3 linked regions of the Mytilus edulis genome follow. The protein of the gene in region 3 purifies or fractionates together with the protein of the main gene of each other region. This does not show direct contact. Links are inferred from orthologs where the notes say so. Each region holds a gene or a part of one and is shown on either strand. Other genes may lie near its edges. The genes, in order: intraflagellar transport protein 22 homolog, intraflagellar transport protein 88 homolog and intraflagellar transport protein 25 homolog.

The links.
Region 1: the proteins of intraflagellar transport protein 25 homolog (region 3) and intraflagellar transport protein 22 homolog purify together in Homo sapiens (affinity purification with mass spectrometry; 3 studies listed by BioGRID and IntAct, with this or other methods). This does not show direct contact. The link is inferred for Mytilus edulis from reciprocal best matches to the Homo sapiens genes IFT25 and IFT22.
Region 2: the proteins of intraflagellar transport protein 25 homolog (region 3) and intraflagellar transport protein 88 homolog purify together in Homo sapiens (affinity purification with mass spectrometry; 3 studies listed by BioGRID and IntAct, with this or other methods). This does not show direct contact. The link is inferred for Mytilus edulis from reciprocal best matches to the Homo sapiens genes IFT25 and IFT88.

The regions. Positions count from the first base shown.
Region 1 is NC_092349.1:48,722,631-48,729,572, forward strand, and holds the start of intraflagellar transport protein 22 homolog, read left to right. Parts: upstream 1-3,935; 5' UTR 3,936-4,033; coding exon 4,034-4,075; intron 4,076-5,563; coding exon 5,564-5,646; intron 5,647-6,942. UniProt on the Homo sapiens protein: Small GTPase-like component of the intraflagellar transport (IFT) complex B.
Region 2 is NC_092353.1:50,393,802-50,401,375, forward strand, and holds the start of intraflagellar transport protein 88 homolog, read right to left. Parts: upstream 3,032-7,574; 5' UTR 2,997-3,031; intron 2,746-2,996; exon of another isoform or gene 2,595-2,745; coding exon of another isoform or gene 2,501-2,594; intron 1,173-2,500; coding exon of another isoform or gene 1,049-1,172; intron 398-1,048; coding exon of another isoform or gene 290-397; intron 1-289. Other genes in the region: transaldolase-like, read right to left, coding at 290-397, 1,049-1,172, 2,501-2,594. UniProt on the Homo sapiens protein: Positively regulates primary cilium biogenesis. Also involved in autophagy since it is required for trafficking of ATG16L and the expansion of the autophagic compartment.
Region 3 is NC_092344.1:108,773,236-108,780,534, reverse strand, and holds intraflagellar transport protein 25 homolog, read right to left. Parts: upstream 3,090-7,299; 5' UTR 3,014-3,089; coding exon 2,922-3,013; intron 2,575-2,921; coding exon 2,468-2,574; intron 2,128-2,467; coding exon 2,059-2,127; intron 682-2,058; coding exon 533-681; 3' UTR 454-532; downstream 1-453. Other genes in the region: leucine-rich repeat-containing protein 42-like, read left to right, coding at 4,934-5,334, 6,840-6,958. UniProt on the Homo sapiens protein: Component of the IFT complex B required for sonic hedgehog/SHH signaling.

The sequences.
Region 1 (6,942 bases), on a different chromosome or scaffold from region 3:
GTGCACACGCTGAAATGTCTCGCCTTCTATACTAATCACTGATATTATGTTGATAGTCCTTAGTATAAAGCTAAGCTTTATAACAACTGTCACATAAACTTAACATTAACCAAGATAACTAAACATAGACCAATGAACCTTGAAAATGAGGTCAAGGTCAGATGAACCATGCCAGGCAGACATGTACAGCTAACAATGCTTCTATACAACATATATAGTTGACTTATTACTTATATAGTTTAAGAAAAATAGACCAAAACACAAAAACTTAACACTGTGCAATGAACCGTGAAAATGAGGTCACGATCAAATAAAACCTGTGCGACTGACATAAAGATCATAAAATATTTCCATACACCAAATATAGTTGACCTATGGCATATAGTATTAGATAAAAACTTTGACCACTGAACCATGAAAATGAGGTCAAGGTCACATGACATCTGCCCGCTAGACATGTACACCTTACAATCGTTCCATACAACAAATATAGTAGACCTATTGCATATAGTATGAGAAAAACAGACCAAAACACAAAAATTTAACTTTGACCACTGAACCATGAAAATGAGGTCAAGGTCACATGACATCTGCCCGCTAGACATGTACACCTTACAATCGTTCCATACAACAAATATAGTAGACCTATTGCATATAGTATGAGAAAAACAGACCAAAACACAAAAATTTAACTATAACCACTGAACCATGAAAATGAGGTCAAGGTCAGATGACACCTGCCAGTTGGACATGTACACCTTACAGTCCTTCCATACACCAAATATATTAGCCCTATTGCTTATAGTATCTGAGATATGGACTTGACCACCAAAACTTAACCTTGTTCACTGATCCATGAAATGAGGTCGAGGTCAAGTGAAAACTGTCTGACAGACATGAGAACCTTGCAAGGTATGCACATATCAAATATAGTTATCCTATTACTTATAATAAGAGAGAATTCAACATTACAAAAAATTTGAACTTTTTTTTCAAGTGGTCACTGAACCATGAAAATGAGGTCAAGGACATTGGACATGTGACTGACGGAAACTTCGTAACATGAGGCATCTATATACAAAGTATGAAGCATCCAGGTCTTCCACCTTCTAAAATATAAAGCTTTTAAGAAGTTAGCTAACGCCGCCGCCGCCGTAGCCGCCGCCGGATCACTATACCTATGTCGAGCTTTCTGCAACAAAAGTTGCAGGCTCGACAAAAATTAAGGCTGAAAATTAATTGCGTCATAGTATAGTTATCAAAGGTACCAGGATTATAATTTAGCTAGTACGCCAGACGCGCGTTTTGTCTACATAAGACTCATCAGTGACGCTCATATCAAAATATTAAGCCAATAAAATGGTTTTGTTTTTAGGTGTGGCGATATTTATGTTGGGGCACATACATCCTTTATAACATTATATCAACTTGAGCATAGTTAACATAATAACACATCACTATTTAACTCAGATTGTTTTTGTATAACTTGCTAATCGTTTGACTTTAAAAAGCTTACCTATGCTTTGTTATACCAAAGTATGAGAGCTTACTTCTTACGAATCAAAAATAAGTGCACAATCACTTGCTATTAAAACGGGGTGATACACAGTTTACATAAAGCACTAGCAACTGAAAGTTTCTGTAAATTTTGCGGAGATAACATAGAATATTGTACGCATTTCCTTTTATAATGTCCCCAATATAAAAACCTTCGGGGGAATTTACGTTTAAGTTTTCAAAAATTGGTTAAAGTTAAAGTTAATGTTATCAAATCAGTATCATATTTAATTAATCAAAATAAAATTGCTGATGCCAACCAAATTTGTAAATATATGAGATAAGCATTTGAATATAAAAAAAAGGAGATGTCAGATGTGGTATGATTGGCAATAAGACAACTATCCACCAAAGTTCAAATGAAGTGGATGTAAGTACATTGTAATTACAGGCAACCGTACGGTCATTAACAATGAGAAAACCACAATTTAAAGTTCAAAACAATGCTTAGTGTCAGTAAGTCTACCATAAATAATGGAAGAACTATACAAAAAATAGACTTGTAGTTGTAGATACAGCATATAATGAATTTTCTCTTATTTTGCATTATGTTTTATTTACATTATTTGTCATGTTGTATATATGTCATGTTTGTTGAAGTACACTTGGAATACGCAATGCCATCTTTTTTTATATATAGGTGCTTTTTATCCAATGAAATATTTTATTTGATCTAAGATGACCAACCGAAAATAAGTACAGCTGTAAATCTGACTTGAAATTTTGTAAAGTATAGTGCCGTTTTGCAAAAACTGAACGTTTTCTTCAAAACACTGCAAAGTGCTTGACTAATTGAATAGCGCGAAGCTTCCTTAGGACGTGACGTGATTATCATTATGACGTTACGTCATGTGGTATCAGGTCCGTTCGCGCCCAATATAGTTTCGCACCCTACACGTTCGCACCTCACATTTTCGCCCCCCACGTCCGTTCGCACCCTACATGTTCGCGCCCAATTTTTAATAAAATTTAAGTTAAATTGTTAGAAATTATTCATATGAATAATTGTATTCTATTTGAATAAAATTTGAGAATTTATTGAATAGATTTTTTCTTTTATCAATCTGATGATTAATTATTAAATGTTGATTATGTATGATTATTGCTAATTGGTATTTATGACAATTTGGTGTTATTGTTTACTGTTGTTTATAAATCATGATTGTTGTTTTAAATTGCTTTGATGTAAATACTAATAAAATAAATATATAGCAATACACTTACCATGCATACCAGTTGTTCAACATGTTGGACCAGATACGCACTAAAATTGACTAGAAACAGTGAAAAACAAATTATTTCAATACACTAACCAAAACACGATTAAGAATTATTCAACACACAAATGAAATAGTTGTTGCCAGAATAACATAATCCGACTTAAAAACAAAGACCTTTTTTTTTATAAACTTGTCATGACACAAAAAAACTTGTCAGTATCTCGAATTATTTAGAAACAATGGCATATATATTTATACCAATACACCTAAAAAAAATCGGTAAAATTGGGTGCGAACGTGTGGGGTGCGAACGAACTTTGCAAAATTTGGGTGCGAACATGTGGGGTGCGAAAGTGAATGGGGGCGAATGTGGAAGGGTGCGAACGTGATTGGGCGCGAACAGACCCGGATTCACGTCATGTCATGTCATATAAATAACGTTATTTTTTGAAGAAAAAAATAAACATCTATACTTTATGTTTGGTAATTCTTCAATTATTTGAGTTAACATGCTGTTATACAAGACTAAATAACAATTTACTGTTTTTGGTATTTTTTTACTGAAATTGACCCGTTTCTGGACAATGTTTTGAAATTTAGCTACGCACTAAGAGGGTTAACTCACATTACATATTAACAAGAAACAGGGCTGCTGAAACTGGTCTAGCTTGATTACAGATCAGTATCATTAACTCGGTCCTCTCCCAAGGTAATCAATGCTTCATATTTATATTGACACCATGAACCCTATTTTTGTTAATAGAAATTAAAAATTGTAAATAAAAATTTTGAATGTACAAGAATTTTTCAATTAAAAAAAATCCTCTACAATACATTTAGCAGCAACATATACATGTACAAAAATTATTCCATAACATATATGGTACCTTGTAACATATGTGGCAATCAATGAAATATTTGAGAAATCAAACTTTCTACAAGACTCAGCATGATATAACTTTTGCGGCTTTCAATCTGAAAATTTAAGATCACGTGATCAAACAAACCGTAAAAGGTGTGTGTCGTAAAATATATTACTTTTTATATATGCCTTATTTCCAAATCTTATGATTGTACGAGCGAAAGTAAATGATAATCGTTGTGATGATTTATCAAGAACCTTCCTTACTCTCTCAAGATTTAGAATATTATCAAATATTTCCAATGATCACCAGGTGTCGCTTTAATTCCACTTCCTTAGCGAGATGTACACATTCCTTCAATCTGTGAATAAGAAATAAGTCAGTTGGTGTAAAATGATGTTTAAAGTAAAAATTCTTGTAGTTGGACCTTGTGAGGCAAGTTTCACAACAATTCAGCTTTAACTTAAGTTTTCGAAATATATTTATTTTCAAGATAAGGTTTTCAAGTGTGTTTTAAAACTGAAACTGAAGAGACTTCAAGAGTGAATATTTTTTACAGGTGCTACTAATACCAGACTGCCAAATGATCCAATGAAAGTTTTTGTAAAAATTGTCCACACAAAAGTCGAAAGGAATATGTGACATACCCATCTGTATAATTTCAGAAGTGGGAATTGAAATGCATGTGCAGATCCTTGTAACGTAACTTGTCAGACTTTACCACCGACTCCAATATTTCATATTTTGTGGACTGCCTGTGCTAGCATGCTTGTCTCAAGTTATGTGTTAAGTATTGGAGGTTGTGGGTTCCAACCCTTGCTGAGGTAAACCTCATTTGAACCTAAGACTTTGAAATTGATATAAACGTATTAACACTTTTGGTATTAAGCTGAATCTTGGAAATTGTCTCCGAATGACCTTAGATCTACTCCAAATCACCTTTTGACGTGAGGCAACAATCACTTTTAAATTGTGACGTCAAATATTTTAGATTATGATGTCAAAGTTTACAGGAACCTGTGTGATTTTACGTAATGGCGGACAAATTTGCATACAAGTGTAAATACGTCTATTTGCTGCTTTTTTGCAGGGTGATTGATCTGTGTTTTACCTGCTCGAATTATAATAATCAATAACTATATCTTTGTAACTATGTTTTATTCTCAAAACTACATATGTACAATTATCCAACTCTCAGTTTATCACTTTATGGCTGCACATGCTGATCGTATCTATAAAGTCATGAATATTTATTATCTATGTACATGTAGGCTGGTCAAAATTGTTTCATACGCAATAATGACCAGCCAGTACATTTTGTAATAATATCATTAACCAGTATTAAAAAGATAAATATAACAAGGGTTCTAGTGTGCTGGGATTAGTGCAAGGCGTTTTGGTGAGTTCCAATTCCAGCCAGGGAAGAATAAAAATTCTAACATTGTTGGGCTGTTGTTTAGACGAATTACAAAATGTATATAAATATATAAAACGTCTGAATATTAGTGAACAAACTTTCATGCAAGGGTGCTGGATTGTTACAAGTAACAATACATGTAGACAATAAATTAGTTATATATATAAACATCTAAAATGTGCACAAAACAACACTGAATAATAAAAAAGAAATATATCTGTTATTATCTATCAAGCTTTTTTGATTAAATTATAACAATCTTGAAATTTAACATGTAGAAATTAAGTCTTGTAACAACACTTCATGTGTAAATTGTAATGACCCTGCATACCAGAGGTATCCACTTTGCAATATAGTGTATACATATTTTACAGACATGCAGTACAGCACACAGAGACTCAATTCCATTTCAGATTCTATTGATTTATGAAGTCACACAATTTATCATTTATGTGTATATTAACTTTGTTAAAGAAGATCTTGATAATTTTTATTTTATTTTACAGAGTGGTAAAACTGTGTTAGCGAACTTCTTAGCAGATGCAACAGATACTTCTAGTGGTGAATACCATCCAACACAGGGATGCAGGTACAATCTAGGTGTATTATTGTCATTCAAAGCTTTCAATAAGCCAAAGTTATTAACCATTTGAGAGCATAAGAACTTTTAAAAAAAGGTGTAAATAGAATGTAAAATTTCATCTCTGATTCTCAGATACAATAAGGTATCACATGTACCAATGAGACAACTCTCCACCAGACATTAAATGACATTGACTTTTTCATTTTCTGAAACATTATTAATCTTAAGTATTGTTAGTAATAAAGGAGTAGGTTCGATAAGGACCTAAAATGGCCCCCTTTTTTAGCCTAAATTTCAAATTGGGATTTGATGACCAATATCAAAATGAATCATAGCTAATACAGTGATTAGATAGGACTTAAGTCTTTTTGTTGTAAATTTATGTTTTGCATTTTAACATGATGTCACAAATAGTACTCATATTGATTTTCCACGCTAAAACAATGAAAATGGGTAAATTTCTATTGATTATTTGGACAGGAAACATACAGTGCATACATCGACAAAAAAGATCTTTGACAATGATGTTTGTAATGACATTTTAGCTTGAATATCAAGGTTGTCAATGGCTGCGCTTTATGTTTCCTGATCTTAGATTTGGCTGAAATTTTACCGATTTTGTCAAATTTCGCCAAAATCTCTTATTTTGACCTAACTGGGATGTAAAAATCAACGCTTCAAAATAAAACTATGGTAAAAATAGTTCTATGTAACTTTGTCACATGTCTTTTAGTCAACTTAAGGTGGTATGGGAGTCTAAAATAAAAATAATAGAATTTGTTCATATTTTGCCAAAACGTAGTATCTATTGATATATGTTCAAAAATATAATAAAAATGATAGGTCACCGTGCATTTTCTCAAATTACAGGTTGTAACAAAATGACACATTTTGTATGGATTATACAGGAAAAAACACCATTTTGTGATTAGAAACCAAACAAAATGATAGAATTGTAAAATAAATGCTTTGAGAATATCAAAAGAAAGGATTGGGTCACCGTATGTTTTTTCCGGCTAAAATACGTAACAAAATAGGAAAATTCCATGTAGATTCCTTCAGAAAATGCAGTTCTAGAGTTACCTCCACTTAAAATGCCAATTTAAAAAACATTTCAAAACAACCAGAAATAATCTACACTTGTAAAAATATTAATATTTATAAGTTATATTCTCATAAATTGGTTCTTTTAAATGATAATTCACATTAAATATCTGCATTCCTGCATCAAATTTTGCTGATTTGATAGAAAATATGGACCTTAGGTTCTCTGTTTTTTACAATCCAAGATGGCGAAAGACA
Region 2 (7,574 bases), on a different chromosome or scaffold from region 3:
TGGCCTAGGTTAAATTTTTGTGGGTTTTTTAATTTTGTGGATATATTCTTTCCACGAAAATTTCTGCTTTTACAGTATAACATATTTAAAATGTTTGCAAGGTTAGTGGCTGGTTCATTAATCGTTATTCCATATTCTATATCTAACCGCCTGCAATATAGACTTTTGCAATTTATATTTTAAGTACAGATATCAAATTGGCACTTTGCGTCCTCCGTACATATTAAAGTGACAAAGACAAAAATTAACTGGAACACATGTTTTGAATTTCTGCAAAAAAAAAATATACCTTGCATCAACCTCTGTTGAAACTCTGCCGGGTACAATTTTCAGGATCTCTAAACCAAACAATACATATACCTTATCCATAGCAGCTTCTATTTGTTGTTCCATTGTCCTATTGAAATAAAATTTAAAAAGATATTTTATGTTTGTTAAAAGAGAAAAACATACCTTGTCTTCTTTCTGTTTTTACTCTTATAATAAAGACATGTTTAAAGTACAGTTACACAGCATGATGATTTTTTTTTTATATTTCTTTTTCAGTTTATTTTCTTTTTTGTCATGATTTCAAAATTCACTATTCATACTATTCATAAGGACTTTTATATGACTGTCATAAAGTGAGAGGTTAGGCTATAAATGTAGCTATAAACCTGGTTCAATCCACTATTTTCTACATAAAAAAAGTGCCTGTACCAAGTCAGAAATATGACAGTTGTTATCCATTCGTGTGATGTGTTTGAGCTTTTGTCTTTGACATTTGATTAGGGGCTTTGTTTTGAATTTTCCTCAGAATTCAGTATTTTTGTGATATTACTTTTTATAATTTAATGTAATGTAAAAAAAGAACAATAATCGATAATTGGATACACCAAATTGTGCATTTCATCAACATATAAATATATAAGACATTTATTATTGTACATATTTTTTCTTTTGAAATGAGTCTTCATCACATATTCATCAATTACATTCTAGCTTTACATTGATTAAAAGACTCACTTTACATTGCTGTATTTTAACAAAGTATTAATTTTAATTTTACCCTCCACTTTTTTTTGCAAAAGTAACAGCCTCTTCAATAAGATGTTGGTATGCTGGCATATTTGCTGCTGCTGATATCAGAGAAGGGTTGGTTGTAGCATCAGTAGGCTTATACTCCTTCATAGCTATGAAAGTAATTAAATAACTTCTGATAAATAATTAAAACATGACATATAACTTCTGTCTCTGTATACATTTTTAAACATGAACTTTGAAGTGTTTTCAGATACACAATTTCACAAAGCTTTTTAAAGTACATGTAATACATAACAGCAGTTTGCCAAAGGTAAACATTGTTGATTAGCGGTTTGTTTGACACTCAAGTGAAGCCATATAAAATTGATATAATTATAGAAGTTCTTTACCTTTACCTTCATCAGCATGATCAGTGACAAAAAAAACGCTATTAATGTTGACATTGCTGATATTAAATAAATAAACAGCTGTGCCATGAGCTCATGATGCGGCCATAGCTTTTTCAAAGAATAAAGTACAAAAAATTATCACTGTCATACAGTGTATCAGATATTCAGGAAAACTAAAGGAATGCTATCTAAATAGATATAAACCAGTAACCAAAGTTTCATGATAACTGCTCAACACATTGTATGAACACTCCCCCCCCCCTTTTTTATGAATAAAATCGCTGAAACGTAAATAATAAAATTGATAAAAAAATTGAAAGGGAGCTTATGTCAATAGATATAAACAATACACCAAAGTTTCCTGCATATTGCTGAACCATTTTGAGTTACATGTCATGTATTGTTCAAAAACTAGAAAATCCTCCTATTCTTAACGAACAAACCCTCCAAAACTTAAAAACTTACAATGTCAAATGTAAAAGTTATGAAAATTAAATGGGATCACACGTTAATAGATATATAATTCACCAAACATGCCAAAGTTTCATGACAATTCGTTAAACCGTTTTTGAGTTATTTTCCGACATGTTGATGCTGGACAGACATACCATAATACGTCCTGTAAACAGACGTATAAAAGAGGGTTGTAATGGGGGTACCTTCATGACGAATAACAGTAAAAATTCCTGCCAAACGACATTAACGGTAATTTTTGGAGCATAACGATAAAATATGCATAAAAAAAGGTGCCTAAAAAAAATCAAATGATTTTGACAAATATGTTAATTTATCACATTAATTTTTTTCCAAAAAAAAACGGTAATGATAATTAGAACTAAGACCTTTGACAAATCATGATAAGGATATTTTGACGAATCACGAAAATTTTTAAATCAATTTGAAAAAAAATTCCAATAGTTGTAAATTACTTAATATTTTACAGAATTTGCTTTTTTTCCATATGTAACTGGGACACCTGTGTCATATTAACTTGATCATATTGTGTATACTGTACATGTTTATAAATGACATGCGACAACAACATGGACAAGATCTCATAATTTTTGTCATGTAAAAAAAATATTTACCTTCAAAATCACCAGTGTCTGCAACTATGACAGTTAATTCCTTTAGCTGGTCCAGTGTTGTCATGGCGGATTTTTTAGTTTGTGGCTCAGACATCTCAGGATATTACTGTGAATAATATTTCCGCTAAATCAGGATGCAAAATTTGGGACAAACGTTTACCTGTTAGGCTATTGATGTTGGATGAGCTAGGCATGCAACACTGACAAGGAACCAGACATAATGACGGAAGCGCTTTCCTGAATATAAATACTAGGACAAACTCGGAGACGACATGTTTAACAGCGTCGAGTGTTAGCTTTCTAAAAAGCTTCTCCAACTTCAGCAATATGACGGAGGAAAATAAGATATTTAAACAAAAGCGTTGCTCTTTAAGTAGCATGTCAGCTGCAGAATACAATATTTTAAAAATCACTAAATAAAACTCATCATAGATACCAGGATTAGATTTTGTATTTACGCCAGACTCGTTACCCTAGCTTGTGACGACGTATGCACATTTTATAAAAAAAAAAAAATATACCTGCAGCCTTTCTCCGTGTACTCCTATAGTTAGAGTGACATATTTTGTGCTTAATAGATAAACGAAAGATTTTTTTTTTTTTTTTTTTTATATATATATATATATAGATAATGATTAGACCGTTGGTTTTCCCGTTTGAATGGTTTTACACTAGTAATTTTGGAGCCCTTCATAGCTTGTTGTTCGGTGTGAGCCAAGGCTCCGTGTTGGGGGCCGTACAATCGCCTATAATGGTTTACTATTATAAATTGTTATTTGGATGGAGAGTTGTCTCATTGGCACTCACACCACTGCTATATCTATAAAGCTAGTAAAAAGAATGGACTTATTCAAGTACACCTTCTAGATTAGTGATTTAAGCACGAGTTTTTTTTTTTTATTGTTTTAGGTTGTTTATGAATTTTGTAGACAATAAACCATAGCACCTCATGGTCAAATAGATGAATAGTAATGAAGTTCGTGTTTTGTTCGCAGATATATAAAAAAAATGTCTTTATTTGCCACAAAACTCCCATTTTCTATAACATGCAATGTACACAGCTACTTTTGCATAGGTACTATTTCTGTACTTAAAAATGCAGTACTGGAAATTTACTTTTAATATCTAGTACTATTTCTTTACTTTAAAACTGTTGTAATATTTAGGTACTTGTATTTTACAGTACTTGATTTGTACCAAATATTTTGGTACAGAAATAACACAATATTTCATGTTTGAAAATCATAACTTTAAGAGATTTGAAATAGAAAAACTTTCAAAATGCTGAAAATGTAACGGTAGTAACCAAAAATCTGTAGTACCTTAATTTCAAGTACAAATAAAGTACTGTAAAATACATGTACCTAAATATTACAATAATTTTAGAGTAACAAAATAGTACTGAATATTAAAAGTAGATTTCCAGTACTACATATTTTTAGTACAGAAATAGTCTATGCAAAAGTAGCGGAGTGTGTAATATTTAACCGTAGTGCTCTGAACAAAGTTTACACAGGGTTGCATGCCTTTTTAGCAATTATTATTTGGTCGGTCTTCTAAATTTGAAAACAATCACTGAAGCCTACCGGTATATTATAAATTATAAAGCTTTTCACATGTACATATGTTATACCTTTAACATGTTTAATAACATACTAGATTTTGCAAAAATACTATTTTTTTAACATCCATGTACTTCAACGTTTTAATCCTTCGAACCTTCCCCAATTGATTCGTTGCACTTTATCGTTATATAACATCGTACTTTAGCATGAACACACGTACTTTAGCAACAAACAACTATTGCACTTTAGCATGAGACACCATCGCACTTTAGCGTAGACCATCGCACTTTAGAGTCCTACATATATACAGAATGAAGTCCTCAAATGCTCATTATTAAGACTTATTACGAATCTATAACGTATTTTAGACACCCATATTATATTCAGTGATTGAATTTGTTGACGGTAAACTGATTATAACTTTCGAGTTTGCATCCCATTTGTTAATTATATACACCTTTTCATCACAGTTGTTAAATGATTTGGAGTATTTAATTTTTTTATTTAAGAATCATTTACTATTAACCTCCCTATTGCACCATGTGCACGTTTGTTTACTTTCTTTCCCACTCATATGTACACTTGCGCTTTGCAAATGGCGAGCTTTTAACGAGAGATATTGTTGTTAGGGTCACTGCATACGTAAAAAAGATCGGCGGAATTCGAGTACGGAAAGACAATAATTCTATATCAGTACATAATTGAAAATTTTGATTTAAACTAGGATTTTCTTTAAAAGAAGTCCAAGTTCACTTGTTTTATAGTATAAAAACTAAGTTATCAATGTATATAAAACATATTCAACTTTGTTTTAATTCAGTGAAGTATCATGTGACTTTAAACATTTTTCCGGCACACACAGTTTTTGATACGTCAGTAGGAAGTGAATCATCATGACTTGCACTTGTGTGATTTTCAGCTTATTAATTGTGTATTACTAATTGATATACGATATTTGAACATTGATAAATTACTGTCGCCTTTATAACTACTGTCAAGACACAAGACTAGTATGCTGTTAAAGATAACTTTGCCATTCGTATACAGATGGATCAACTCAGGCAAACATCTTACAACTACATGTATACCAAGAGGAACAACTTTTGTCATGGATCTAATCGTTTTTCTCTTTAAAAGAAAGATAAACTCAGGTTGTCTACATGTTTCATCCGCTTTAAATTGCTATCTCATTTGAACTGAATGCTTCATTATCTCTCACTTGACTGATTTTACAAACAGATTGAAGCGAGCAAATGTCACATTTTCATTTGAATAATATATTGAACACACATTTGACAATAATTATAATCCTGGACTTATACTGATATAGATGTATCAAATTTAAGCATTATGGTAAAAAAAAAGATAAAGAATAACCAAAACCCAAATGGTTCAAGAATAACTATATAATCATTATGGATAATTTTGAATAAAGGCAACAGTAATGGACGACATCAAAAGTTCAATGAAGGATAAAAAACTTAATTCAAATAGTTTTTTTCACTGACCCCCCTACCCCCCTATTGACTTAATTTGGGAAAATTTGATTGACCCATATGGATATATGTAAAAATCAATGTCGGATAACCAAAGCTTGCAGCAGTTCAACCCCCACCCCCAAACTATTTGAATTAAGTTTTTTTTTTTTTTTTTATCTTACATTGATCTTTTGATGTCGTCCCTAATATACCGCTGTTCAAAAGTCATAAATGGATTGAGAGAAAAAAAATCCGGGTTACAAACTAAAACCGAGGGAATCACAGCAACTATAAGAGGATAACATATGAATATAAGATTGAGAAGATGGGTTTTGATTAAAAATTAGATTAAATGACATACTAGAAGTTTAAACAACCCAAGGTCATGGTTTGCTCGAATGTGGTATTGGTAGGCTACTCGCTATTTTTTTAATTTTAAGTGTGATCATTTTATTTAAACTTAATTTTTTTTTGCAACTCAGCTGACATTGATGGCGGCATGTCAGTTAACCAAAAGATTTGTGGTTGCTATATAGTTAAATCATGACTGAATGTACCCAACTTATGACGGTCATTATGTAATATAATTGCGCCTAAGTTAAGACTGATGAAATCTAAGAGGAAACTTTGACCTGTAATTATGTTAGCTTCAAAATTTTCTGTTTCCTTTTTCTGAATCACCAACGTTTCATATTATGGCTTTCAGATCTTTTGGAGTGGAGCGTATCTGTATGTGTTTCTTGTAGACACAATTTATTTTTGTGTGCATGGAGATGTTATCATACGTTTTCGCGCACATTGCCTCGAATCGTGTCTCGTTCCTTTTGGGGGTTCATTCGATTTACCTTGTATTGTATCGTCTTCATAGATAAACGAAATTTAAAAATTTATTGGAAATACACGTCAAAGGCGCTTGGGTATAGAATAGAATAGAATAATTTTATTTACCAATTAGGACCCCAGGAGGGCGTATAGCATACAAACTTATTGGAAATACACCATGTACACGTCAAAGGCGCTTGGGTATAGAATAGAATAGAATAATTTTATTTACCAATTAGGACCCCAGGAGGGCGTATAGAATACAAACATTATTACATGTATTATAAACAATAACATATACAAAAACATCGGTAAACTTCTCCTGCCTTTAAACTAATGCCAGCATCACTAAATTCTATTTTGCGTAAAAATATCATCATAATGATATATACTGCAGTACCTTACTGCAATTGCGCAAAATAAGATATTGTACAGATAGTAATATTTCATAATGTTTGTATTGAGATATATTCAATAAGCGCATCATAGATAATTCATCATGATGCTATTAATTTCGGAAACGATTTTTTTTCTCAACAAAAAAATTTAATTCAAACTTTTCTTGTTCTATGAGAAATTTACAGAAACGGTAAGAATGGATATTTTTTTTTTAATCATGACACAAAATCTCTGATTTTCATAGGTGATATGCATGTTATAAGTTTAAAAACATACATACTTATAAAAAAAAAAGACAATTGAAAGTGGTACACCTAAGTAATACGAGAAATTGTCTAAATGAGTTACGTCATAATTGAAAACCTTTGAGAAATACTATTCAATACACAAGGAACTGTTCACTTATCTCAACACTCTAAGACAAACCACACTACATCAATCCAACGGAAAAGAAGGAACATAGTGCTAAATGAGTCAAGGAGTTTTAACCTTTTTATGATTTAAATATTTATCAATCACAATTTTCATGCCTTTATTAATGCCTTTATGTAAATTAATGTCCTTCGCCCAGTAAACAAAATCATGCAGACTATATTTTGACAGAGATAGAATTTTATTTCGTAACATTCATACAGCTTTCTCTCTCACTTTAATTCTTTTAATGTAAAATAATACCAATTTATAAGAGTATCGAAGTAATTTCGTGCATCATATGCGCATTTAAAAAATAGTTTTGCCATCGGTGCTCGAAATGAAGCTTTATAAGCGTTTGAAAAGTAACAGTTAATTAAATAGTTATCAAAGGTACCA
Region 3 (7,299 bases):
GGTGCAGGGCATCAAAATAGTAGTCAAACTATGTACTGATAGTAATGCCACTTCATACAAAATATTATTAATCTATCACAAATGGTCCTATCAAACTAACTTTAGCAAAATTAATCTAAATTCACTGGACCATGAACTAGGGGGCAGAGCCTCAAAATAGTCATACTCTGATATGTACTGATAGTAATGCTACTTTATATTAAATATCAATGATCCATCACAAGTAGTTCCTATGAAACTAACTAACGCCATCATCCTCATTTGAAAGCAATCCCTTTTCTCTCACTTTACACAACTTTTGTCCCAAGCTAGACAAAAACGTATGTGTTTCCTATTTTTAAGCAACTGTCTACAGATTATTTATCATATCTTTTTGAATCTTACTATTAAATCAAAAATGTGAATTTTCTATTTCCTTATTGAAACATTTCCAATGAAACCAGAACAACAATAAAATTTATAACAATTTTGTTTATACGCATAAATATTACACCATGGACGGAATGTTAATAGTTCAAATGACGGATTTATATTAATGTGCTGCTGTTCCGTCTACATGTAGTCTATAAACAGCTGCAAAATGGTCATATGCTGAATCGATTACAACACGTAAATGTTGTGCCTGTACATTGCCTAGATTTATTTCTTCTGACTGTAGTTGACCATCGTGAGAATTCATCTCTGAAAAGGAGAGAAAAATAATTTTGTATAATGATCATGAGAATTCATCTCTGAAAAGGAGAGAAAAATAATTTTGTATCATGATCGTGAGAATTCATCTCTGAAAAGGAGAGAAAAATAATTTTGTATCATGATCGTGAGAATTCATCTCTGAAAAGAAGAGAAAAATAATTTTGTATCATGATAATGTGAAAATATACCCAAGTTTGAAAGGATGGATATGTATTTGCCTGAAAACTGCATTAATTATTTGTATATAATAAATATATTTTCACCCCAAAAACAACTTCATTACCACTGAATTGTCAAGACTATAATAAATTATTTGAAGGTACAATCAGAAATGCATGCAAAATTGCTTCCATTTTAAAAAGTCATTTTATTTGTCTGAATTTATGTAAACATAAAACAAACAAAGATCAGTCAGTTTCAATATATGTGTTTAGAGTCTGAGAATTACTATTATTAGGAAAAATCTTTAAATATCCCAGAGAGTAACTGTTTAGATTTATCTGTTCATTGTTCAATGTTAACAGACAGTCTTGTAAAATTGCTATTTGGCCTGTCAATTTTCTATTTATATGAAGCCCCAGTCCCACTACACCACGATCGCACCATGCTCACTGTGTTCTTAAATTTATTCAGATCATGGTGAGGTCGCGGTATGAGCGGCATGAATACATATATATCTACACGATCCCACTACGATAATCAAAATTTTCATTTTTTTCACAGATCGTAGTGCGATCGTGGCCTAGCGGGACTGCGATATTACAGTACTAAAAAAATCTTAAATTTCATTGATGGAAAATTTAAACGAATAGTGTATTTTTAACTCTTGATGTTTAAAACATAATCATGGGTTTGTTATGAATGACTATTTTGCTGGCCTTTTGTTCTTTTATGGATGTGTATCTTTGAGTTTGAATTACCCTCTGATTTTTTTTTATATTTGAAATGTTTGCTCTTACAGTCTTTTACCACTAGGATTATGTCAAAATCTGCATACAACAACAAACATTCTGAGAGTACTGCATGGCAATACATAGTCCCCTAACAGTAAAAAGTTCTTTGTGCTGAACAAAATGCCAACTTGATCTATAACTTGTCATGGTGTAAACTATATATAACAAATATCTGGTCAATATGTTCAAGCTGAAGCATGACAAAAAAAAGTGTGTAAAACTAATTATTTGAGTGAACAAATTGGAACCTGATCTGTAACTCGTCTCGATAAAAGAATACACCAAATATCTTATCCATATCTTCATGCATGAAGAAAAAAGTGTGGAAAACTGATTTGCCGATTGACAGACAGAGTGCAAACCTAAATTCCCCTTCGACTTAGTTTGTAAGGGACTAAGAAATGAAACATACCTATTTCTTTTATTGGTTCAAAATTTAAAGGTTCACTGTCTGTACTTTTCTCTAAGATCAATCTTCTAACTAAAATAGAAATAACATTTCTTGTATTAAAATACCTTTGTAGAATGAAAAAGTATTTCATTTTATCTTCAAAGAATTTCTAATTCAATAATATTAACTGTTGGAATGAGACACAAATTGAGTACTTTTTTTTTTCTAGTTGCTGTAAACATGGTAAATATCTAAAAAGATATTATCACGCTTTTGACTACATATCAGTTGTTCTTTCAGTTCATTTTTCTAGTTATTGTAAACATGGTATATTTTTAAGTATACATTATCAAGTCTTTAACTTTATCAGTGGTTCTTTTGGTATAAGATAAAACTATCAATATTTTTTTCAATATTTATATAAACTTACCATTACATGAAGCTAATTCTACTTTCGACATGTTCATCATTGATGTGAATTTTATGACAAATTCCTGTGGAAATAAACCTGTTGTTGTCCAGAAAGTTTCTGAATCCCTGAAATAAACAATGTTTTAAAGACTCAAATGACTGGATTGGACACAATAAAGGATAATCAATAATGTAGGTTTATTTTTGTGTATGGAATTGTAGAATGCATGCTAGGATAATAGTGTATTTATTAAACTTTGTAACATACATGTACACGTAAGGCATTAGTATATGTAAATGTTTTCCACACAGGATCACACAAAGAAAAAAGGTACATTGTTTTACAAGGCAAAAAGTATTTTTCTATTTTTGGTATAAATTGAGCAAGAAACAATTATTTATGCAAGTGTCGGTGGGTGAGAACAGTTTTCTTTTATAATGCAGTGTACTCAGTGGTTTAAAATTGAGATTACCCGTCTATAATATTTTCAGGAGGATATTTATCATCACTTGAAGTTGCTAACACAACCTGGGCACCAGCAGATTTTAAGGCAACATCAAACATTTTTAACTTCGTTAGGAATGTTAGGGCTGTTCGGAATATTTATTGTTGTCACCGCAAACAAGTCTTTTCATCCCGACCCGACATCCTGAGAGAGATGATATTGAAAATAAAATATACGTATCAAAAATTAAAAAATAAGTCGGAAATAATTAAGATATAATTAAGATATAATAAAGTTTATCATCAAATGCAGACAAATTCGGTCAACAATAAAAGTAATTGACTGTGGTTAAATTTTTTGACCGGAAATGATAGCCGCCTTTTAAAAATCCGTTCGGAAACTTTCCCCGCCAAATTCCAAATCACTTCATACAATATTTAACAAATAACATGTAAGTAACCATAGGCAAGGACGTATAACTAACACTGTAATATACGTCCTTGCCATAGGTATTAAAAAACTTGTGTTGAATTTTTGAAAGGGTGACACAAAATCATAAAATATACAAGTTGTCTTTTCAGAGGCCTTGAGGCTTTAACAATTTAAAAAACAAAACAAAATTTGAATGAAATAAAAAACACAAGATAAAAATATTTAATGAATGGCTATTTTTTATGGGTCAATAAATTCAAAATAAATTATTGCCATTCATTATAAATAAATTTCTATCAAAAATAAGGCTCAAAGAACTTTTTATATTTTTTATATTAACAATTACAACGTACACACATGTTGGCGTATGAATACACAACGTCAGAGTGGGTGCATCACCATAAAATTGACAACATTGAAAATAAAACTAATACTTTTAACCAATCAGAAAACAGTAGATACACCAAATTTATTTATTTTTAATTACAATTATTCAATTAGTTACTAGCAAATGTTCTCTGTTTTAGCGCTGCCAAGAGAGGCTGGCACATGAGCTGCTGAGGAATCCATGTCTGTTTGCTTAAAATCATGTTCGCTCTCATTACTGAGGGTATTAGATACAAAATGGTTAAATTTTACTGTGATTTGTCAAAATATCCTTATCTTGATTCGGCAGAGGTCTCAAATAATTATTGTTACTGTTATTGTTAATTTTTGAAAAAAATTAACTTAAAAAAATAACATGATTTGTCAATAACACCTGATTTTTTTATCATTTAAAAACAAGTGTACATTTTATCGTCATGCACTAAAAATTACTGTTAACATCAATTGTCAATTATTTATTTGTGATGAAGGTACCCCCATTACCACCCTCATACACATTCACCCAAAGTCAGGTTCACTCCCATACATGTTCCACCTTTCACGCTGGCACCCTACATGTTTAAACGCTGGTTCAGTTCACACACTACACGGTCACAACCTTTTAAAGTGTAGTTCATACAGTGATAGTACTATATATTTATTGTGCACAGAACACTATATGGTTGATAACAAAAGTTCTTGAAAACTTGATTAAATCATATAATAATTATTCCTTCTTTATGAAATAATTTCCTGGAGTATATATTATCCTCTTATAACATGTATAAGATCCAACTGAGTTACTCAGAATAATTCTATACAATGGCATTCTTTACAAAATAATTATTATGCCCAACATTGAACATGTTGAACTAGCAGCTTACATGTATTTTGATTATCACTTATATGAAATTTCTGTTTGTTCACATGATTAACATAATTTTATTATGTAACACAAGTTCTAATACTTTCATTTTATTGGTAATCCGTATATTTTCCCTTTGATTTTACTGCCTAATATTTTCGAGTACCAACGTACTGGCTGTATGGCAATGGATAAAATATTATCTGGTGAAAGTTCCCAATAGAGCTTTTGTTATGTAACAAAAATTCTAACAGATAAAAGGTGGAGCCTTTGTTCTGTCATGTAAGGCATTCTGAACAAATAGATTAGCAATGTATCTATTTTCTCTTTTTAGGTACAGTATAACTTGAATAATAAATAATTATTTTGAAATGATATGAATGGGAAGAGACTTAAGACACATGATATATCTGAAGAAAGACAAAAAACACCAAAACGTTTGTTGTCACAGTGCATACACTATGTAGCAGACAATCTGTGTTATGTTGACTCTTTTTATGGATTGCCAGATTTGATAGCAGAACAGATATTCAGAAAAGCAGAATCCTTAGACAAGTTTGATTTAGATGACAAAAACAGCTTTCATGCACTTTCAATATTTACTACTGTATATGAGGACCTTATCATTTCAAGTTTAAACCTCTGTAACCAATACCTTGGAGTTAATTTCTGTCAGGATCGTTTAAATTTGTTGACATCCCTTAGAGAAATAGATTTGACTGGTTGTAGACTAGGAGATGAACATGATTTCTTGAATGATTTGGGACAACTTCAGAGGTAAGATTCTCCACATAAAACTGCAGTTTGACAGAAAATGTACATGTATGAGGGGCTTGATGGGTTATTTTCGTTTTTCGTGATCAGCGCATTTTCGCTATCGTGATTCGTTTTTCTACAGATTTTTTTTCTCTGAAAAAATCAACTTGTGAATCGTGATGCGACCCCCCCCCCCCCCCACCACCAATCAGGCCCCTCATGTATGGAGTTCATAGGCTTATGAGTAAACACTTGTAACTGCGCTTATCCATTTGGTCAGTTCTAATTGATAGTGCAATAAAATATCTGTTTACAATCTGTGGTATACTTTATCCCCATATATGTCACTATAGTTTCTATTTACTTATTGAAATTTGGAAGTTGAGGTACATAAAGATTGAAAACACCATTTAAAAAAAAAAACTTAACCAGATGCTCTGCAGGGCGCAGCTTTAAACAACCGCAGAGGTCGAACTCTGAACGGTTGGGGCTAGTATGGACACAACATTCAAGCTGGATACAGCTCTGAATTTTGATTGTGATTAAATAGTTGACACAGCATAGGTTTCTGACACAGAATGAATGTGGTCTAATAAACTTAAAATATTTTTTTTTGCTTTTGAACAATTCACTATGCTGTTGAATATTAATTCTCTCAAAAAAAAAATATTTGAAGAAATTTTCTTTTTAATTGAGTTGAGACAAACTTAAGTTAAGAGAACAGAAACTAAAAGTTCTTCAATTTTTCCATTTGTAAATGGGCATAACCCTAGAATGGTAATCAAAGTGCTTGTCATCACTGAATGGTAAAGACTGCTTTAATTTATCAGTTTGTAGTAAAGTGAATATTGCATTGTATATTGTATATAGCATTGATTTAAGTTGATTCAACTACTATTCTGGACAAAGAAAGATAACTTCAATTTTCAAAGAAGATTTCATAAAGCATTAGTTTTAGGTGATTCAACAACCATTCGGGACAAAGAAAGATAACTCCAATTTATTGTCTTGAAACTACAAAAATGCTTGTTTTGGCCCCTTTATTCCTAGACTGTTGCCCCATAACCCACAAAATATATCCCAACCTTCTACTTATGGTATTAAACATTGTGGTACAATTTCAGAACAATTGAAATACTTATACACAACTTTTTGTACTGACACTAGACAAATGCTTGTTTTGGGCCCCTTTAGGCCCCTAATTCATAAACCTAAGGGACCATAACCCCCAAAATCAATCCCAAGCTTCCTTTTGTGGTTATTAATATTATGTTAAAATTTTATTGATTTCTATTTACTTATACTAAAGTTATTATCTGGAAACCATCCGTCTTCGGACGACGCAGACGACGACTTGATACCAATATACGACCGCAAAAATGTTTGCGGTCGTATAAAAAGCAATATGTTATGTTGAAGATAATTTGTATGAAAGTTCTCTGAATTTCATATTAGCCTTGCTGTATTTTAACTCATTCGACAACTTATTACACTTATTATGATATGTACTTGCACTTAATTTGAAGGTTGGAGATATTGTGTCTGAGTGACAACAGTTTATCTGATAAAGGGATCCAGAGATTGACTTGTCCTTACAGAGTGTGTGGTCAGGGACCAGCAGGATTGACTAAGCTGGATGTATCTGGTAAATAGAGTAAAAATATACAATATTGGATTAGAAAAATAAAAATAAAATGATCTGTGAAACATTTAAGTTACCGTATTGAAACTAAAGAAAAATAGAAATACACTCATTCATAAAATAGAGAATGGAAATGGACAATACCCGACCAGGACAAAAAGACAACCAAAGTCCACCACAGCAAGAAAATCCTGCACCGTGAGGTAGACTTCAGCTGGCCTCTAAATAAAATGTGTACTAGTTCAGTGAAAGTGGACTTCACACTTAACTCCTGAACATAATTGAACTAAAATTTTAAAAAAATTCAAGACTAACCAAGTCCAGAAACTTCTGACTTGGGACAG